Struthio camelus: one gene and its partners. The protein of the gene in region 2 interacts with the protein of the main gene of each other region in a pairwise test. Links are inferred from orthologs where the notes say so. Each region holds a gene or a part of one and is shown on either strand. Other genes may lie near its edges. The genes, in order: SPMIP4, KLHL40 and TASOR2.

What was found.
Region 1: the proteins of KLHL40 (region 2) and SPMIP4 interact in a two-hybrid assay, tested with the Homo sapiens proteins (2 studies listed by BioGRID and IntAct). The two-hybrid records come from large-scale screens. The link is inferred for Struthio camelus from reciprocal best matches to the Homo sapiens genes KLHL40 and SPMIP4.
Region 3: the proteins of KLHL40 (region 2) and TASOR2 interact in binary tests that used the Homo sapiens proteins (3 or more experiments, as listed by UniProt). The two-hybrid records come from large-scale screens. The link is inferred for Struthio camelus from reciprocal best matches to the Homo sapiens genes KLHL40 and TASOR2.

What each region holds. Positions count from the first base shown.
Region 1 is NC_090943.1:38,164,516-38,171,713, reverse strand, and holds the start of SPMIP4 (sperm-associated microtubule inner protein 4), read left to right. Parts: upstream 1-4,098; 5' UTR 4,099-4,246; intron 4,247-7,198. UniProt on the Homo sapiens protein: Microtubule inner protein (MIP) part of the dynein-decorated doublet microtubules (DMTs) in flagellum axoneme. May serve to reinforce and thus stabilize the microtubule structure in the sperm flagella.
Region 2 is NC_090943.1:4,043,778-4,051,732, forward strand, and holds the start of KLHL40 (kelch-like protein 40), read left to right. Parts: upstream 1-4,851; 5' UTR 4,852-6,019; intron 6,020-7,955. Other genes in the region: HHATL (protein-cysteine N-palmitoyltransferase HHAT-like protein), read left to right, coding at 1,403-1,544, 2,918-3,039. UniProt on the Homo sapiens protein: Substrate-specific adapter of a BCR (BTB-CUL3-RBX1) E3 ubiquitin ligase complex that acts as a key regulator of skeletal muscle development.
Region 3 is NC_090942.1:2,180,901-2,187,912, forward strand, and holds the start of TASOR2 (protein TASOR 2), read right to left. Parts: upstream 3,095-7,012; 5' UTR 2,988-3,094; coding exon 2,945-2,987; intron 1-2,944.

The DNA of each region.
Region 1 (7,198 bases), about 34 Mb from region 2:
AGCTACGTAGACTAGTACTTCTCAGGTAGAGGAAGAACTAACCAACAGGAGGAATAATAAAGACCTATAAAATCAGGACTGGTACAGAAAAGATGGATAGAAAATGATTATTCATGATTTCTAGCAACACAAGAACTAGGGGTATCAAAAGTAAGTACGAGTGAGAAGCTTTAACCTAAACTAAAGGAAGTCCTTTTTCATACAAAACACTAATGACGGAGCTCATTGCCATGGAATGCTGTGGAGATCATACATAAAACTCAGTTTAGAAAACAGCTGCACAAATTCCTGAAAGAAAAAGTTATTAAATACAACCACGCAGATGCAATCCCTACTTCAGAGAGTCTCTAAGCCACAGACTGCCAGAAGTTGAAAAGGCAGCCTGGAGAAATAACATTCAGGACAGGAAACCTGTTGTTATATTCTTCCAATACCTGCTACTGGCTTCTGCCACAAATAGGATACTTGTCTGAAAGGAACTTTTCTGAGCCAGAAAGGCCTTTCTCGTGTTTAGAGGCAGCTCTCAGACTGAGCTTTCACTTGAGCTGGAAATCCAAATTATCAATAACGTATTCAGTTCTAATGCAATCAGCCATACTTTTTGACAGGCTCTGAGCTTAAACCAGCAAAGTTATAAATTGGTGGCTTGAGAGTTGTAGAAGAGTCGTATGCTAGGATTGATACAGTCATGCTGTCACTACTGGGATCATTCAATGACTTGCTTTGCTTTACTTTCCATAACATTTTGGGGATTACCAGAAACATACAGAAAGTGAGAAGTGGGAAATCACAAAGATATCAGCTTTTGATCTTTGTTTCTTCCCACTGTAGAGCAAAAGACATAGTATTTTTTATTATCAGAATGGAGTATTTAGAATCAAATCTCTCCAGGACCATTTGTGACAGATTCTCTTCTGCTCAAGTTTTCTCTCTCCTGAGAGATGAAATTCCTCTGATTTGACTTGGTTCAGGAGGCACTGTTCCCATAGTTCAATTGTATCTTCACATCAGCAGTCTGGTCTCACACTTAGGTGTATGTAATATACAGCTGTGGCATCACCTATCAAAATCTCAGCCTTCGTTTCCTGCAGGAAAATCAAGAAAGGCTGCAAGCGTTGTCTAAAACTTCAGAATGTTTATACGATGGCTGTTACAGACCACATTCCTCTGACCAGATCTGGAAAGATATCTGATTAAAATGTTGGTGGTATCAGCAGAAGAAACAGATTTGTCTTATGGTTGTCATCCCAATTTATCCACTTAGAGCCCAAGAGCTGACTGCTAGAAGAAATACTCCAGATATGTCTTCAGAAAAGTAATGTGTACGTTTGTAGGCTGCAATTGTACTGATACTGTAAGAAAAGCACACACCTATAACAGCTTTCAAAAATCAGAAGATATTAAATGCTACTGAGGTTCAGCCCATCCCTTTATCCTGTGACCTATCGATATGCATAAAGTAAAAGGAAAATTAGAAGAAATTATTCCCATTGCCTACTAGTCTAAAAAAAGGAGACAGGTGATTAAGACAGATACAGGTAAAGAAAATCACATACAAGAAAGTTTATTTTGCTATATCCCAGATTTTGAGAGGCACTCAAGCATTGCTTTGCTTCACACAGCAACACCTCAGCAGATAAAGAACATCATCCTTTATTTCTTTTAAGGCATCGCTTTCAACAGAAGGTAGGACCAGATGCTCTCCAGAGGTCCTGTCCAACCCACATTTCTCTATGATTCTATAATTCTTCAAGCTTGGGAAATGCAGAGCTAAGGCAAAACTGTTATTTTGCAAAGGAGCCTTTATCTCTATTTCATGACCTTCTTTTATTAACTTTAATCCTGAGTCCTACAGCATAGGTAGGTCACTGGCCACAGCAGAATGTTTCCTAGTCAACAGCAGGAATGGTGCCAACAGGTAGAGGCATTTAACTGTTCCTGTCTTCTGGAACTTGCTGACCACTTAGCTCTCTTTCCCTATTTTGTCATATTTAGGGCACTTTGTTCTGGTTTTGAAGCTTCTGCAAAAGACATTTATCTCATCTCTGAAACCTGTAACAATTGACTTCTTATCAGTTATCATGTTCACTGCTCTGAGTATGACATCCAGCCACTTTGCCTCTTGCAACGCATTGAAAATGATTGGTACAGGCCAGAAAACAAAAACAACACGGTTCACAAACAGAAGTAGTTGAAAGCAACATGTACATCAGAAACCTCCCTCTTTCACTTGTCTGGGAATTCCTACATTTCAGACAGACTTAGAAGGCTGACCTTAAGTATAGGCTAGAGAGAGACAATAACCAGATGAGGAGTTTTCAATCCTTTCAGCTACAGCTTCACATTCTACCTATAGCAAAATACTTATCCCCTTTTTTTTCCCTCACATATATTTAATACCTCAGCCATAATGAATGAAGAAATGGTTAAATATTAGAAATGGGAGCTAAATTTCACACTCTGCATATTGCACAGATGCACAGACACGCACAGTGCAATACATGTATCGTATGGGCGCATTAAGTTACCATGTTTGATTTTGGAAATACTACATTTGTGCATATACGGGTAACAAATAATAGAAGAGTAGTACTTCAAAAACAGAAGTAACTATTAGCCACATTCTAGTTTTGAGAGTAAAACACAAGGAGAAAGCCAGACAGTTGCTCAGGCAAATGCAATATATAGTTTAAATCTCATGCTTCCATACTGCAAGAGTTTTTTTAAGGCTAATGAAGGGAAAAGCAGACATGGAAAAGAAGAAGGGAATTCCTGGGTCCTTCTGCTTCTGCGCATGTGTCTAGGGGAAGAACACACCTGCAGCCACTCAGCCGAGAAGCCTAAAGAGAGCCATTGAGAGACACTGAAACAAATCATACACAAGATGAGGCTAATTAACTGAAGGGAAAGAAAGAAGAAAGTTGTGCATACATGAGTGGAGAATTGGTGAGGACATAACAGTACCAGTCAAGTGACATTTTAAAGAATGACAGCAAAGAGACATTTCTCAAAACCCTGCTTGTATTTTGACCCTTACTTCCCAAAGCCGCCCTGCCTCAAGGAGAACACATTACATCGCTTTTCATCACATCTCTTAGATTCAAAGTATACAAAGGTTATCTTCTATCTCAGAAGAACTTTATACTAAATACTCCAGTTGAAAACAAATAGATTTAAAATTTGTGGAGAAGCTGAACAGAGCCAGTAAGGTCTGATGAGCTCCATGTGTTTTCATTCCCAGTAGGGCTCAGCTGGCCCCTTTGCATGAATTTGTGAGGGAGAACAGAGATGAACTTTTTAAAATCAGCTTCTCTGTGAGCTGCTCAATTCTCTGGGTACACATTATACATCTGTACCTCAAGGCAATAAAAGTATTTAGAATTAACTGTATTATATGATTAATATGAAGAATTCTATTTGTAAGAGAACTGAGGCAAACTTTCTCTGAACCCTGCTGTTGAAGAGAACAAATAAAAGCATGTGTCGGAGGTGTTGAACTCATTTTTGAGTGCAGCTAGTTTTTTAACCAACTATCTACTTGTCCTTTGTTGTCCATCATCAATTCTGAGAGCTGCAAATTTGCCCTCTCTGAAGAGACATTTCAAACGAAATGGGGCATCCTAATTCAGCTGCTGATTTCCATTGGCAGCTAGGAAAGAAAAAGTACCAGTTTAATTTTGATGCCTATGAAGGAATTAAATACCAGTGAGGGTACCTGTAACGTTGTTATACTGGGATCACATACGGCTTATGAAGTCTTGAAATAGCGAAGTGGGAACACAGGTGATTCTGAACTGCTCTTGATCTAGAAATGTCACTTTTGTGCGAAAAGAGCAGGGGAGTGGAAAATAGCAGACAGTTGTCAGAATACACTTCCTGCCCTGGTTCAGCCAACACCATATGCTTCTCGAAGTTCCATATTTCAAGACATTTCCTAACAGATAAATACTTGTACAGATTTATATTGCATATGAATCTATGAATCCCCAGGGGCAGCCTGGAGGATTGCAGAGTCCACCCCCACCTGAACTTTACAACTAGCAATAAATTCTTTCTGGGTGTTATTTACCTCCTGTGCTAAGTGCAGATGGTGCACATGTTGGGGCTGGCACAGCAGAGCAGCACAGGCTGTGCCTGTGCAGTAGCTCTCAGTGCAGATTTTCCTAGTTACCCCAGAAGTCACAGAGATGAGGACACGGTAGCTTGGTCTGACTGTGAAAAGGGGCACACAGGAGAAAGTTTGAAGGTACTGTACAAAATAATGACTTTTTTTCTGTTTTCCAACATATAACAGAAAAATATTCCCATCTTGTTAGTATTATCTTGAGAATGAATCTGTGCTATTCTTATTTTGTATAATACCGTTCTCTGAAATAGCCATGACGTTATATGCATGCGTATACGTCTGCTACAAAATTTCCTGTTCAGATCCCCACCAGCTAAGAAGTATCAGCGCTCCCACCGAGTATGTACATATACATATTCTGTCTCTGTATACTTGATCTTCAGAAAAGATGATGAGCAGTGCCAATTCACTTTGGCCTTAACTAAAACTGTACAACCCTCCATAATCTTGCATTTGATGGCATTATTCCCTTAAACAGTGACTTTAAAATACAAATTGGCATTATCATCTGATCCTGTCCTCACTCTAGGATAAATATAAAGTAATTCCACTCAATTTAATGTATTTATTGATTGATTTACATGACATGGAAACTTTGAGAGTGATTTTTATTAATAAATTAAAGAATCACTGAAGTGAATCTGCTGTGTGCAATTACACAATCTCTTTTATGAGAACAGGCCAAAAGTGAGGCACAGACCCTTGAACTAAAATTACTTTAATGGCTAGAAAAGAAGTACCTCTTTCTTCTAACATGCAAGTCGCATTTTCACATTCTGCGTTATATGGTAAAACTAAGAAAATGGTATATAATTATTTTCACAATCTAGATGGTCAAACGCTGTACTCAAAAGAAAGATAGACATCAAAACAATGTACACAGAAAAAGTGGCTTGGGGATATATATTTTTATGATTTTTTTTTCCCTAAAGCAAAAAGAAGACGTTTGTGATTACTGAAATACAATGCAAGTTACTTGAAATTCAAATAACCTGCAAAACTGCAAAACTGGTATGTGGCCACGAGAGGGCAGAAATAACATTCATTTTATAACCCCGTTTCTGTGGGAGAATAACATATTCCTTCAAAGAAAGTGTGTTTTAGATTGCCATAAGACGCTACCGAAGCAGTTAGGAAAACACAAACTATACGGTGAGCTTCACAAAGGCTACCTCGTGATCATTCAATGTTAACAATGGCTGGTAATACTGAACTTTCAATTTTTAAATATATAAACCATTCCTAGAACAAGTAAACTAACAAAAAAAGAAAAAACTGTAATGGCAATTGATTTAAAGCCTGAAAAGAGCATTTCTTGAAGTGTGTATTCAGCAGGCTATCAATGTTTTCTATCTTTTGTCTTTTAGCATTGGCAAAAGGATAGCAATGTGTATCATTTCTCATTTCAATAAACAGTTTGCTTTGGCTCTTTCTGGATCTGAATGCATCTGTAGCTCTCGCCACATAACAGCTATCAAAATCAGTGAGAAGTCTGGAGAACAACACCTCTGTCCTCTTTGTCCAAATGCTCACATTCTTCTGTTTTCACTACCACAATTAGGAGAAAACGAGAATTAAAGAAATGACTTTTCTCCCTACTTAGCCGAGTTGGCCTCAGCTCTTCTCCCTCCACTGTCCTTTAGGTAACAGAAATACAACTTTAATCAGTCAGAAATGAACTTTCTGTTTTCTGTTTCCGCTGGCTAAATTACGTTATGTCACTTGCGGCGTTTCCAGTTTCAGTGTGGAGAGATACTGGTTTAATAACTGTCTCTGCAACCTGAATCTTCTCTGCATTAGGTAACGGGAGGTTTGAAACAGCTCTGATTTGAGATCATACATCAGCCACAGTCAAACATGGATGACTGTTTTATCTGCCTATCAGAGCCATAAAGTAACTTTATTCCCTGGGAGCTGAATATGATTATGGCAGATTATGCATCCAATTCAAACAGCGGCTTGTTGCAAGGCTCTTTCTTCCCATTGCCCCAGCACCGCCTCAGCAAGCACACTGTTATGCCAGAGCTTTCATTTCGCTCCAGAGCTTTCATTTTGCTTATCCTACATTTTCCTTTTCCCTCTTTTCACATAACTCACTTAAGTAGATAACTTAGTAAAGATGTCAGGCTTGTAATTATCATTTTTAGGATTGGGTTGAGGTCAATTTTTCTTAGGTCTCCTGTACAGCCTGGGAGGAATTCTCAAAAGAACATTTGCCTCTTAATGCCACCTCATTTTTGCTTTTGCCTTCTGACTTCCGCAGTGTTTTAGAACTAAAACTGGTTGTGACAAGCTCATTCTCTGCATTCTGTGTACCAGACAAAGTCCTTTCAGGTTAAATTGATGGAGTCAGGGCCACAGGAGTGTTCTATTCACAGTCCTTGGAAATCATCAAAATATCCACCTTTCCCTAACTTCTTTGTCACATCAGCAAAGACAGTCACTGTAGCCACCCTGCTAAGGGAGCAATACAAAGAGATATCAGGGACTTTTGTTCACTAGTTCTGATCCCTAAAGGGACTCACTAACACCTGGAGACACAGCTGAGCGATGATCATATACCAGAGATGCATCCAACTTCTTGGCAAGCAGTGGTAGATCTACATGTGGGAACCCTCTTCTGTGTGAGGGTTTGGAGGGTACAAGTGATCACCTGAGACTTTTTCTCCCAGTTAGCTCACCTCTATAATAACAAATAATGCAGGTCAGTCTCGTACTGTCTTAAAACTTCAACTCTTTACCTTCCATGGTCTTTTTTTGGAAGGAAATAACAGAGGTTTTCAAAACCTGAATAATAAGTGAATGAAGGAAAAGATTCTGCTGAGCCTTGCTATATATTCATCTCTAGACTAAGATGAACCGTGGGAAAAAAACAAAGAAACAATGTTTTCATGGAACATATTTAATCTGTGAACTCCAGGGTTATTGATTGAGCTATAGCACTTGTACATGGCACAAACATTAAAGGGCAGTTCGCTTTAAAGTGATGGCCAAGCCATCCATGTTAAAAATAAACCAGTGTTCCAAAACCATTGTGAACAAATTACTCTCTACTGCACAATAGCACAACAG
Region 2 (7,955 bases):
CCCCATCGTCTTATGCATGGTGTCACCCACCATGACCCTGTGATGCTTCATAGGAAACAGGCTGGGTGTCGAGCTTTCAAAGAGAAAATAGATGCCCAAGAGAACTAGGACTGCAGCCCAGTGAGGCATCAAAGTAGCATAGATGGACTCAAAGACCAAGGTGTGTTCACAGGAAAATGTTTATGTATTTCCATATGGAAATTAATTTTTTCTTGTTCTGCAAAACATTTTGGCATTGGATATTTTTGGTTTAATTTGTGATAAAAGGAAATGTTCAGATACTACAATTAATTCTTTACCAATCTCTCTGAAGTTTAGTGCCCAGTCTCTGTTTGGGACCAGGGTACCTTGGAGACAGGTTGGAAGAAAAAGTCAGGAGACCCATTCCTAGAAATAATTATATTTTTTGTTTTTCTGCTCAGCCTAAAAAGTCTGGAGGACCTAAGCTGATCCAGTAAAGACAACTTTCGAATAAAAATTTTGAAGAAAAATCCTCCCATTTTTTCTCCTTGTTGAACTTTTAATCAGATTATAGCACTCACAGCTAGTAAAATCTTCTTCCCTGCGGCACCACAATTCTCAGCACTAAGTGGCCTGGGGATTCATGGTGCTCTTTGAAGATTGCTATAAACCACTTCCCTTCTCCGCTCTCAGCAGCTGCTCCTGAGGATTATGTGCTGGTGACAATTCCACTCTGCTGCTGTCACTAGCTTTCAGCTCTTTTTTTTTAATTCGTAAGAAACAGTTTCTACCAGAAGCTTGGAGTGATTTCCACATAGGGCTAATAATAAACCTAGCAAACAGCAGCGTTCATCTGCCTTGAGGGAGGTCTTACCCAAGGCAACAGATGAAGAAAGGAGTTACCAGCCGCTACTATTAGCATGAAACCATGTCTAACAACTTGGCCCTACACATGAGACCTCAAAATGCCAGCCCAGGAGCAGAGCAGAAGTTTTACATTGCCCTTATGCTTCTTGATCCCACAGACACTAAAGGCTGCTCTGATTTATGCCTACCCATCTGGGATCCCTTCTGGAGTTTGGCTGATATGAATCTGTGGTTCAGCACATCTCCTTTCCTTACCCTTTCTCATGAAGTCTGGGGAGGATCTTGGTCACATTCAGCCAGCCCTTGCAGAGCCTGGGGTGCTGGGGAGCACCATGCTGAGGTCTCCAAACAACTCACTGAGGACCTAGCTTGACCTCCTAGGAGCTGCACCATGCAGGAGTTGACTCCATGTGGAGCTGCCGGGGTGTCTCAGGACCTGCAGCTCACCAGATAAGCTATCCAGGGATAGCTGGCTGTGGTTACATAGGCTCTGGGAAAGAAAAACTAAAACCATGTCACCCTTGTAAGAACCAGCCCCGTTTTCCCTAATTCTCTGCTCCTCTCCCCTGAACAGGCCAAAATGTCAGAGGCCATGTCTCGGCGGATTAGGGCAGTCTTTGGGGCAGCAAATTTCTGGGCCATCGTTCTCTACAACATCCTGGCCCTCAACAGCCTGGAATTCGCGCTGCTGGTCACCAAGAGACTCCTCCTGATAGGTAAGGTGCTACTGACCTCCTCAGCGAGGGATCTCATCCTAATGGGAGACACATGGGAGGGGAGCTGGGGCCTGGGGCTTGCCAATTCTCTTGAGTACAGAGTGGCCTGGCCATTGACTTGGTATGTGACCACCCCCAAGCTACCTTAATTTTTGTGGGCAGCACCTTCCCCACCTACAAAATATGCAGAAAGTGGTTTCTTTCCTCCCATCCTTCTCATGCAAGCTCTGTGGGGCACAGATTGCATTCGAGGTGTGTTTGTATAGCTCCTAGGAAGGCAGGGCTCTATGATTAAGACTTTTTGCAGCAATGGAAAAGTTGCTGTCAACCTCCCAAGGTGGGCTGACTCCAGTTCTCCCTGGCTGGGAAATTGTTCCCTTGCTGGAAGAAGGGATTTACTCAGCCTGTCTCATCTCCCTTTGCTTTAGCAGTTATTCCCATGTCAGCCCAAAGATGATAGTTACAAATCTTCCCACCTAACCCATCTACTTCCTAGCATCTGTACTTGATCATCTTCATCATTTAATATAGCAGTTCATGCTAGGCTCCTACTAAACAATCTTGTCTGTACGCTTCTTATCAGTAGGTGGCAACACTATTTTGAAGTCAGTTCAAAGAGTGCAGGGTAAAAATAGCTACCTGGGATCCATGCCCTCCCAGCCATTCTCTGGGCCAGGGGCTGGCATAGGAAACGGATAATGTGACGGTCAGAAGTTCCTGCCAGTTGAGTTAGCTGGCTTTTCCTGGTTGCATTATTCATTCCAGAGGTCCTATTTTAGCAGGTACAAAGTCTGCGTCTCTCCTCTGCTATGGATACCAGACTTATGGTTACAAAAGACATCGGACCCTTCCTAAGTGGAATGAGAGCTCCCTGCCCTTGGGTTGCTTATCTAGGTGACAAATAGGTGTGTTTCCCTGCATGCATACTATGTTCACGTTAGGTGCAGGACGTGGCTCAGGTGAGACCCTCAGCGTCAACTGGGCCCAAAGCTTCCAGAAAGTCGTAACACTGAGCAACAAGGGGTTTTGGCAGGTTGGCTGGCCAGAAGGTCAACCAGACTGAATTTAGGGGGAAGAAGGAGGTTTGTCTGGGGGGAAGGGAACGCTTAAAGCCATTCTAGCATTTTCCAGCTTTGACTGCAGTCCATGGTGTTTTGGTGGACGCAGGTACCGCTTAATCTAAAATCTGCCCCTGGGGATTTCTCTCCTATGTCAGTGACGCTCTAGGGCTGGATCCAGAGTGGAAAATGAGGTTGGCCACTGTGAGCCTGTGAGACCTCCTGAGCCTGCCTGAGGGGAAGCAGTGCTAGAGAAGAACTGGCCCCATTAGGCAAGCAGCCATACCGAGATGACCATGTTCCTCCGTCTTCCAGGTTTCCCTGTCAGCACCTTGTCCATCTGGTTCATCACGTACTGTGGAGTGCAGCTGATCAAAGAGCGTGAGCGTGTCCTGGCCATCGAGGAGGAGAAGCATGACAAAGCAAAGAAAGAGTAAAGAAAAACATCGGTGGGCCTACCCCAAAACCTCAGCTCCCCTCCAACCACCTTTGTCAGGCCAGTCACTGACGGGCTCTCCAAGCACTCCTGGCAGTCAAACTACTGTAGCTCACCCACATGTAAGGCACCTGGAAGGTGCACTTTCTTGCTGCAGTAATGATTTTCTATAAGACATCTGGGGGTGTTATGCAGGCTATCCATGGGTGGCAGACTGCTGAGGTAGGCTCCCGATCCATTTCTTTAAGGCCAAAAAGAGCCATCCTCATCATTTATCTGACCCTCTGACATATTATAGGCCTAGAGATTTCACTCCTTGGTTTCCATAACATCTGGTCCACTAGAGCATTTGGCTCTCTCACAAGACTATGTCTCCCAGAGACTATCCAAGTCCCACTCCTGAAGGTTTTAGGGTGTGCTAGGCATGCAGCTTTGAGAAAGGGATTGGCTAATGCTGAGCCTGCTCTGAGCAGACCCTCTTCAGGTCATTTCCAGCCCAAGCATAACACATTTCTTTCTACAAGAAATAGTCAACATCCACTGTCAAGTGTTCAACATCTATACTGTGTAGTAAGGACTGTAAAATGGCTCAGCACGATATATGCCTACCATGCGGCTAATAAATAAATAAAACAGTCTTTATAGCAAAGGAAAAGAGGGCTAGGAATTGCACACTGAAGAGTAATTATCTCCCCTCCACTGTCAGCCACGCAGAGTGATGTCTGCTACGGTCTCAAACCCTCTGCAGAACTGGTCCCTTCAGTTCTACATGTCTTGAAAAAATGATTTAATGCCGTTCTCATGCCTAATTAATGAAAGCGTGGGAGGCATACCTGCTTCACAGCCAGAGAACGTCAGGTACCAGTCGCCTGTGGAATGAGCACACTGAAGAAGCACAATGCAAGACTCTCACATTACGGCTCGATCCCCAGGCCCTGACTCAGACCCAAAGGGCACTCCACCGAGGGATGTGAGACTGATGTGGCCACCGCTACCGTCTTGCTGTGATTTATGCCCTGGAATTCAAACCCAATCTCATCCCTGTTTTCTCTGTGCCATGGAAGAAGATTTAAGCTTGAATTCTTACCCGTTGCTGAGAAACAGAGGACTTTTTAACCAGCCCTTGCTATCTCCAGCCATCCAGCCCTTTGCTCAGCTGATTTTGGTGAACGCAGCATAAGCCCGTAACTGCACGTCTGAAAGAGCACATACACACATTCAACCAAAGGAGAAAGACCCTGAGTGAAAGACAATGATTTGGAGCTCGGTAGGAGAGGGAAATTGTTTGCTAGCATACTTTGAGAAGTAGACTTTGGGACACTGTATATGGAGTGCATTAAATGTACCCGTTTGAGACACAGTGTCTCATGGGAAAGATAAGTGAAATATCCCTGGGTTTCTTGTAACTTTGGAGTAACATAAGCAGCCTCGTGTCTGAATCATGTCAATGCTTGGTGAGGGCAGGATCTGGACCACTTTGCAACCTGGATGGGGACGCTTGGTGTTGGTGTGTTCTAGTTTCCCTGTGGATAAAACAGGAATTGTTCTTAGCCAGCTTTCAGCTATGCCAAAGTGCTTTATGAAGTCCCTTATATATGTCATTTATTTATGTAGTAAATAAATGTTGGACACCTACAGGGCCTGCTGCCAATCTCTAGCTGCTGTAATGCACTGCCATCCGAGATGAGAGACAGGAGGATCTGTTCGCAGGTCTGCACGTTCCACCTCCAATTTTTACACAAGATAGGATATTGCTGACTTCAATAGAGACACATCTACGTGGCATTTTGCTGCAGCTTGATTTGTATTCACCGTTATTGTGACTCCACTTCCATGCTATTGCAATGCCACTAGCTGACTGCCATCGTGTAGCTTTTGTGGTAGAAGCCGTATTGTTTTTTTTCTTTGGGAGCCTTCCAAAATGTTGGAAGTTAGGGCAGATACTGTGCCTTGGTGGCACCTCTAGTCACATCCCAAAACCCTTTCAGCTGCCATGCACATCCATTTTCAACACAGGCTCTGCTGCTGGACATTAACAAATTTCTTGGTAGCTTCTTGGCCTCCCCATCATCTCAGATTTACCCTGTGCCATCAAAACAGCTAAAACATGATGTGTTTATTCCTAGTGTAAAATTCAGCTCTTCTCCTGAATATGTGTGTCCTTGCACAGCTGAAGACGTGCTGAGCTGCAGCAGACTGAGACCAAGGTCTCTGTGTCTTTTCGTGGCACAGCTCAGGTCTCTGGCTGCCTGGAAGGAGAAACAGAGTCACCGACCTCCTGATGTCAAAGTGAATGACTCACGTGGCAAAGCCCAGTGACTCTGCAGTGCCCTCCTGACTTGGATACTCTCGGAGAGAAAATAATCCATTCACTAAGAATCTAAATTTACCCAGCAGCTGCATCTCCTGGAGCTGCCAGAAGGAGCTAATCTTAGACACCATCTGAGCGAGTAATTTGTTATAGAGCCAGTGCATAGGGGAACTCAGGCTTTCCCCAACTTTGCATGAGGTTAACCCTTTGCCACTGTGCTCGGTTACTGCCACCATTAGAAGCCAAAGGGCCAGTGGCCAAAGTGGTGGTATTGCAGCAGTGTCTCTCACTGCTCAGCCCTGAGAAAGAGACAATCAATCAGCCTCAGCATATGCCTCTGTGGGAAAAGTCTACCCTGATCAAAACCTCCACAAGAGAGAACCATTGCCAGAGGCTCAAAACTGATGATTGCCTCAGATTCCACTGCTATCATCAGAAAGAAAAATGTATCCCCCAGCAAGCAGATGTGGCTGAGGCTCTCCAGCGCAGGGGGGTTCAGCCCAAGCCCCGAGAAATCCTATTGACTTGCCTGTGCATAAACAGAGATTGTAAAATGGCAACAACCAACCAGCGCACGCAAATAAAAACGAGGAATGAAGCAAGAGTAAACACACAAGCGATAAAAGAATGCAATGCCTGAGATGCAGCCTGGAAATGTGTAAGCTAATATGTAAGAAGAAAAAAAAATCCAAACTTCAACTATTTGATGGCTGAGACGATCTGAAGCTTTTGGCTGAGCTGCAACTAAAGCAATGCTAGCTTTTTCCTCCCAGTCCCAGAAGGGTTCACAAGAGGTGCACAATAGCTCCGAGAGCACCCCTAAGGTCTCCCCATTAGCACTATGTGGCTGTGTGAGCCACCCCAGAGCACAGAGTTGCTCAGAGGATTTTGGGTCCACCAGCTTGGCCCTCTGTCCCACCAGGCCATAGCAAAAACTTCCCTGGGGAAGGCCCACCTTTAGCTGAGCTGAATGTGCCTGTGCTCAGGAGCCAGAGAGCTCTCTGTTTCATAGAGGGATGTCTTGGGGTGGTCAGTCTGGGCCATGTGTGCTGGCTACATCGTTCTGATGGCAGGGCTTGGGATGGCTGCAGCTGTATTGAGCCGATATAGTAAAAAATAGTGTTGGCAGGAAACAAAAGGCTGGGGATTACATGTATGAATGTTGCCACAAGCTGTCACTAAGATAGTGTCCCAGTTCTGCTGTGATTAGAAGGCACTGGGAATAGTTAAGATTGTCTAGTCTGAATTCATTATTTAAGATCTCTCTAGAGTGAATGGCGAGACACAGCCGTCACCAGAGTCCTCTCCTCTAAGGCAAGTGTCTAATTCAGGTGTGGTGAATCAGTTCCCAGAGATGCCTGTCTCCCCCTGTGCTCTTAGGGAGCCTAAACTCTACACCCTTCACCCTGAGAGAGCTAAGACTAGGTGGGTGACAACCCACCTTCATTTCTCTGGAGCATTTCAGACTACTAATGGCTGATTTGGGTTCTTTTCTGTCAGGCTCTAGAATGGTCTGGTTTCACTTTACAGAGCCAAATGAAGCCTGGAAGTCCCATCTCTGCCAGTGGCTTCCTATATGGTCCTGGATGAGTCAGCTTCACTCACAGACCACTCAGAAATAGGGCTGTTCTCTGCCTGGATGAGGTTTGGTTTTCCTGCCAAAGCAAGGCACGATGATGAAGGAACTAAAATCCAGCTGCTGATTTCACAGATGATAGCAGACCTCATGCCAAGGTTGTCTACTCCGTGGGGTTTTCCACCTGCCAAAGGATGGAAAGGTTCAATGAGTTCTGCTGCTCCAGAGAAGTCTTCACCAAAGTGAAATTTGGAGGGGAGGGGGAAAGCCCTTTTATAGACAACATAGACCCAAAACAACAGCTCTCAGGCCCTGTTTTCCTGGAAATAGCACTGGTCTCCATAAATCCATTTGTTTCTGAAGTGATGAGTCTTACACGTGCAGGTGGATCAGTGGTTCCCTCCTCACCAGTGAGCTGTTGCTCATGGAGTTGAACCCATAGTCACGTGAGCCCAAGCCAGTCCTCGTTTCCAATCAGCTGGATTGGCCGAAGGCAGATATGTGTCCTAGGCCTTTGTACTTATTCTGGGAGCTGTGACTCAGGATAGGTCTCGCTGCATTTAGTGGTATCACCTTATGATGGGAAATATGAAGAGAGAGCACTCTGGAAAAAGTGGGTTTCTTCCCAAGTTTTGGAGCCAGCCCAGCAGCTGTGTCAAGCCACTGAAGCCGACAGACCCAACAGGGGGTTTGTGGCTAAGGCAGTGCTCTTGCCCTAGGTGGGACACGAACCTGGGAGAAGCCACAGACCCACCCATAGGTTGGGATCTTCTCTGGAAAAGGATCAGCTGCAGCTGCATTTTAGCAGCAGCACCTCGTGATATGGGGAATGCAATAGCAAGCCTCGGAGGGCAGCACACACTGATCAGCACAGAGAAAAGGAAAAAGCGCCAGGGCTCAAGGGAGATTACAGGCAGAGGAGAAAAATCCCAAACAATAGCAAGACCACACAGGATTAATTTGGGAAAAGTGCAAAAACTAGTGAGGGAAGGGAGAGGGGAGGATAGGGGCTGTCCAGCCCCAGACATCT
Region 3 (7,012 bases), on a different chromosome or scaffold from region 2:
AATTACCTCTGGGATCAGGTAGTCCAGGAATGCAAAGCTCTAGGCTGCAGGATCTTTTGTAATGCTTTTCATCAGCATTAGCGACTGACAGTATTTATTTAGATCACCTTTCGGCTACAACCCTACCCAAAGAAAGCAGTCCCAACACAACCATTCAGTGTGTGAGACATGTTTAAGGAGAGATCAAGCAAGCGGGGCTGTTTGGTCTGGGGAAGAAGGGGCTGGGGAGGTCTAACTGCAGCCCACAACTCCTTGAAGGGGAGTCACAAAGACGATGGAGCCGCTCTTCCTGGCAGTGGCAGGTGGTAAAACAAGGGGAAACACCACAAGCTGCACCTTGGGAGGTTCAGACTGGACATCAGGGAGAAATTTTTCCCCAGGAGGGTCATGCAGCCTTGGGACAGGCCACAGAGAGGTGGGGGTCTCCATCCTTGGCTGGACAAAACTAGCCTGGTGTTGGTGAAAATCTCCTTGGAGCAGGAGTCCTCCAGAGGACCCTTCCAACCAACACTTCTGTGATTTTATCACCTCCCTCCTGCTGTCTTCAGCTGCTCATGTAATTGCAGATTTGATTATTGCAAGTTTTCCTTTGTTAACTCATTGCACAAGCAGTTGTTGCTACCTTTCATCTCAGCAGATGCTCTTCAAAGCACTTGCCCTAAATGTATTTGCTCTGACCTGCCATGGCTCCCCTCTTCTATCAGTGTACAATCTGCTTGATGTGGATTCACTTAACGCAGGGGTCTGCGTTGACTCTTCCCAAATCTAGCACCATTCCAGATCTTCTAGCGCTCAGACAATTAAAGATGCCTCTTTCTTTGCAGAACAAGTCAGCCAAACGATTCTGTGTGCTAGCACACAAGCCGTGATGGACTGAGACAGTCAGGCTTTCCGTGTTTTGACCTTGCAGGAGAGAGCGCTCCAGCTCTAAAACGAAATACTCACTAACAACAAGTTTGCCTTTCTTAGGTTACATTTCACAGATGCCTTAAATGCAGCCCACAGACTCTAAGTTGAAACCCACACATAGGAATCCACCACACTGCACCTAAAATCTGCCACGTAAGCTGGAGTTTACCTGCTATTTCCCAGGACCCCAGTCCCGCAGTGCTGTGCCGACCCCATAAATCGATGCCAGGGAAGTCCTGGATCTAAAGCGCACGCAGTGTAAAGCTGACTGCACATGCACTGCTGCAATGTCTAAGATTTCCTAGAACACAAGCAGCCTTGTCAGAGCAACAGCAACATTTCACGTGTTAAAAACAACCTTCTCAACGCTGAGCCCTCCCACGTATTTTCCAGTTGGGAAAAGAAAAAAATTGTCTGTGCCTGGAGAAACTAGGCGTACTGTTATTCTACCTGAAACGAGCTGAAAAACAGCAGCTATACTCATCCAGATCAGTTACTTACTCCTCTTGCTTTTGAGCAAGCCTGACAACCTTCAAAACGTTCCTTAGGTTCGTTTTGCGGCATTACTTTTGCTCTCGCTATAGATGCTCCCATTTTAGCGTTGACTCTAGTTTCTTGTTCTGCTTGATAGAGCAGTGAAGCTGCTGTATGGACCCTCTGGCTACGGAAATTACCAATAGCACCAAGACGCGCTTAGCGTTTCCAGTAAAAATGGAACTGAAGCCACGAAATACTGAAATACCCCCGCACGCCCACGAACTCTGAACATCCCACCAAGACTGGAGGGTAACTCTTTCACCATCAAAAACAGAGCAGAACGGTGCCAAAACAGCACGTGCCACAAAAGACGGACGTTTCACTTTCTTCTCTCAAATTTGGCGCTCACGATCAGTCGCGGCGTTTCAACCGAGCAGTACCGGTATACCTATTTCATGCGACAATGCTGGCGCCGTTGCACCAAAGCTGTAATCCCGTAAACGCTTCTCTTGACGGCTGCGCTAACCTACGCAAGCCCTTGCCCCGACGCTCGTCCTCTTCCCCTGCTGCCACAGTTGGGGCAGAATGAGCAACACCAGCAAACCGCAGCAGGAAAAAAAAATATATATATATATATATATCACGTAGAAGAGGCTATTTTTAATCCAGATAAGTTCAGCAATCTGCTGCGCAGCTCCACGACGAGTTGCGCCCACACGGCTCAAAGCCTGGCGGGATGTTGACGTCTGGGAGGACTGGGAGCGTTCGGGATGGACACGCCGAAGCCAGCTCTGCCACCGACAGACGTGCTTGGGCTGAGTTCACCGGGAACACCAAAAACAGACCAAACTAGCGCTGAAAGACTAATTTCGGGGGCCAGGTGGTCTCATCGGTGGCCCGAGACCCCCTCTTCTCCTAAAGGCGGCGGATTTTCCGACACACCGACTTTCCTAGGGGAAAAACAGCAACTCCGGGGCGCTCGAGTCGCGTTTAACGCTTCTGGAAACTCCTGGACGCCACCAAAGACCAGCTGGCGACGCGAGGAGACCCGCGTCCGCCTTCCCCGCCCGTCAGCGGGCTCTCGCGGCGCCGGCGAGCGTGGCGACCCCGAGACCGCCGCCGGCGCCGGACCCCCGAAAAAAAAACAGCCCGTTGACGCCTCGGCCCGAACCCCAGCGCCAAAACCACCAGCTGAGCGGGGCCGGGTGGGTTTCCTTAGTTAAAAAAAAAAAAAATTTTTTTTTTTTTTAATTTGGCTCGATCACTATTTTCGTGTACTGCTCGCGCGCCTCGTCTGCCGGATCCTGGCCAAATTCATCCTTTTACCTCAGCCAGCCCGGCTCCTCCACCAACCCTAGGTGGGGGCAGGTTTGTTTTGTTTTGTTTTGTTTTTTTTTGGGGGGGGGAAGGATGAGGAAGGCGAACTGAGCTGAAACCCGGGTGGAAACACGATTATTTTGCCCCTCCTCGCTTCTCCTTCAGGCCACCTGCCTGCGGGCACCGAGCTCCCCCCCCCCACCCTCAACCGCCGCCTCCACCGCACCGCGCCGCCGCTCACCCGTCCCGCCGCCGGCGGCCGCCCCGTCCCGCCGCTCGCCCATGGCTCCGCTCCGCTGCCTGGTGGCTGCCTCAACCCGCCCGGCCCCGGTGGCGGTGGTGGCGGAGCGGGCGAGCTGAGGCGGCGCGGGGCGGCACGCGGGGCCGCCGCCATCCGCCGGCCGCAGGAAGTGACAGGGAGGCGCGGAGGGGCCGAGGAGGGGGGGAGGAGGAGGAGGAGGAAGGGAGGGAGAGGGAGGGAGGTGGGTGACGGTGCGTGGGTGGCGGGGGGAAGGGGGGAAAAAATAAAAAAGTCCGCCCCCCCTCTCTCCAAAATAAAAAAAAAAAAAAAAAACAGAAAGTGAAAACTGAACCGGAAAGAGAGTCCGGCCGCGCCCGCCGTTTTCCTCTTCCCGCAAGGTCGCCGCTGCCGCCGCCAGCATGGCGCCCGCGGCCCCTCGGCGGCGTCCTTCTTCCCCTCAGCGCCGTCCCTCAGCGCCGTCCTTCCTCCCCTCGGCCCCTTCCCTCAGCGCCGTCCTTCCTCCCCTCGGCCCCTTCCCTCAGCGCCGTCCTTCCTCCCCTCAGCGCCGTCCTCCATCCCCTCGGCCCCTTCCCTCAGCACCGTCCTCCATCCCCTCGGCCCCTTCCCTCAGCACCGTCCTTCCTCCCCTCGGCCCCTTCCCTCAGCGCCGTCCTTCCTCCCCTCGGCCCCTTCCCTCAGCACCGTCCTTCCTCCCCTCGGCCCCTTCCCTCAGCGCCGTCCTTCCTCCCCTCAGTGCCGTCCTTCCTCCCCTCGGCCCCTTCCCTCAGCGCCGTCCTTCCTCCCCTCAGTGCCGTCCTTCCTCCCCTCGGCCCCTTCCCTCAGCACCGTCCTTCCTCCCCTCGGCCCCTTCCCTCAGCGCCGTCCTTCTTCCCCTCAGCGCCGTCCTCCATCCCCTCGGCCCCTTCCCTCAGCGCCGTCCTTCCTTCCTTCAGCGCCGTCCTTCCTCCCCTCGGCCCCTTCCCTCAGCACTGTCCTTCCTTCCCTCAGCACCGTCCTCCATCCCCTCGGCCCCTTCCCTCAGCACCGTCCTTCCTCCCCTCGGCCCCTTCCCTCAGCGCCGTCCTTCCTCCCCTCAGTGCCGTCCTTCCTCCCCTCGGCCCCTTCCCTCAGCACTGTCCTTCCTTCCCTCAGCACCGTCCTCCATCCCCTCGGCCCCTTCCCTCAGCACCGTCCTCCATCCCCTCGGCCCCTTCCCTCAGCACCGTCCTCCATCCCCTCGGCCCCTTCCCTCAGCACCATCCTTCCTCCCCTCAGCGCTGTCCTTCCTCCCCTCAGCCCCTTCCCTCAGCACCATCCTCCATCCCTTCTGTCCCTTTCTTCATCTCCTCAGCTCCTTCTCTCAGCACCATCCTTTGGCCTTTTGACCCCTTCCTTCAGCCTCCTCCCTCATCCCCTTGGTTCCTTTCTTTGCCCCTTCCCTCAACCCCTCGGCCCCTTCCCTGGGGCCTTCCCTCAGCCCCATCACTCCCTTTGGCCAAGCCCTTGAGGAGCCCCCACCACTTGTCCACCCCACTGGGGCCTTGGAGTGCCCCCAGGAGCCCTCTCGCACGGTGGCTCCTGGCCCTGCTCTGTGGTGTCCCCGGGAGCTCTGGGGGTACCCCCATGGCAGGGGGTAGCTCCATCACCCTTCTGGTGAGGACTTGCCCCAGGGTGTTGAAAGGTGGCCGGTCTCCCTCCAAGGTCTCCCTCCAGATATTGGTGTCTCTCGGCGTTTTGTTCCTGCCTCCTAGGGAATGCATCGAAAGGATTGCAGTGTAGGGCCTGGGGGCAGATTGGCTGCAAGAACGAGGTGGAGCGGCAAATGAACGTTTAAGCAGAGAAAGTAGATAAATAATCCAGTTTCCCTCCACCACCTGGAATCTCTTTATCAGCCTGGCAGGGAGACAACTGGTCACTTGAGTAGCTGTGAATAAACTGTAGGACAGAACCAGGCCTTTGGGCTTTCTCCTCGCTCCCCCTTCCCCTGTGGTAATTAGTTGCCTGATGATTTTGGCTCCTCTGTGGCTGTCTGCTGAGCAGAGCACTCTCATTTCTCCGACGTGGCTGCCTTGGTCCCCGTTGTGCCTGAAGGTGGCTGTCGAGGGGAGGTGGCTGTTAGTGGGCATGTGAGGTGCGGGGACACGCTGCTGCTGCTCCATGTTGCAATAGATGATGGGACATGGTAGAGGGCAATCGAGGTTACACAAGGCTTTGTGTGAACACAGCGTGCCTAATAGTGCCTTAATGTTTGCGTTGCAGAAGTGGGCCTACAGCCATGCTGGACAGCAGCCCTGGCGGGTGCTAGGAAAGGAGACCACCCAGCGTTTTAGGTACTGTAGGCACAAAGCAACGAGCCGTGGCTGATCGTTTGGCCGATTTCCAAGGGTAGGAGCTTGATGCGTTAAAAAGACTTTGCTTTTCCCCGTTGCTGCTGACAGGAGGAGACGTGAGCCACCTGCGACCAGGCTGTGGAGATGGCCCCGAGCTCGTGGCGTGCATGGGCCGCAATGAGAGCCTGGGGCAGAGATCCCTGTGCTGGCATGTCACGCTCGGAGAGCGCTGTGTCCGCACGTTGTGGACGCACTGCGCAGTGACATAGCTGAGCTGATAAATGTATGCTGATGCTGCTTCCTGATCCTCAGTGGCTTCTGCACGGCCAGCTTGGGCGTCTCTGTGCTCGGGTATATTTTCACAAGCTGGGGCAGTCATAGCCTTAGTAGGAAGGACTAGCAAATGAAGGAAAAAAGGAGAAAGAGAAATGAAGTGAAAATGTGACAGCTCACTTATAAGTCACTTATTACTCAAGGCAATGCTGCAGGCCAGTAACATGCCATTAATGATACTTTCACCCGGGAGCTCCTAACCTCTTGCTATAATTAAACATCACAGCAGCAGAGCAGAAAGCGCTGTTCCCACGGTGAAAAAGCCAAGGCATGAGGAAGAGCAAGTGATTTGTCTAGTGCTATAGGGCCTGGCACTGGCAGAGCTGGTAGCAATCGCTCGCTCTGACCGCTCAGCAGCGTATCCCGTGTTTGTCCTCCTAGATCCGCCTGACGTATCAAAGGCTGGAGTTCTCGCTGGTGGTGCTCGTCCTAAACGTAGCCTGCCCTGGAACGTGAAAAAAAGGCCCTCCATGTTGTTCCAATGCCTTCATATTCGGGTGAAATGAGACGGAAATATCTTCCCAAGGTCAGTGTTCCCGGTTGCCCTGCGAGGGTATAAGATGAACAGCCCTGTGTAACTGCGTGCCTCGTGCTGGGAGGCGTAAGGAGGACGCCGAACTTCTGCGGCAGTTGTAACGAAAAGTAGAGCCGCAGTCAGACTGCATGCGTGTCCATCACAAGTGTGACCGTTTTCAGGCACTGCAGCAATGAAACACGAGTTATCTTAGCATAAAGAATTACTTCTGATAAGGAAAATTTGGATTTCTCGTGACAGATTCTTTCTCAGTGATTTGTTTCCATTTTCAACTATTACAAAAGCATAAGGGATTTAAGGGAATTTTGTTGTCTATTTTTGGGGGGTAGGGAGGAGAGGAAGAGAGTAACGACTGGAGTTTCTGGGGGTCAGACACCCATTCTGACTGGAGTTTCTATATTGCTGTTTGGTTTTTCATGCCTTTTTGGGCAGGTAGACATGTGCAGTCTGCATAGGAGGAGAGCCTATGACCTGACTTTGGTGTGGGCCTAGTTCCTGGCAGTTCTCTATTTTGGCTTTGAAAGAGTGACTCATGAACTTCTGGCATACCTACAAGTCTAAAATAAAGAAGCAGTCATTTGAAGATCTATTTCCTTTTATTATCTTTTATTTGGAAAAAAATGAATGATATATGCAGTCAGTATATATATATTTTTATATATATATTGCTGTCAGTATATATATATATATATTGCTGTCAGTATATATATATATTTTGCTGTCAGTCATTCTAAGAAAACAGTTGCAATGAAATGAGTAAATAAGGAGGTGGACACAATAGTTCTTGAAAGCTACAGTCATCAGGCTTAAAAACAGGGAAGATAAAGCAAATAATTAAGTTTGAGACCATTACTGACTTTGTGTGGGGGA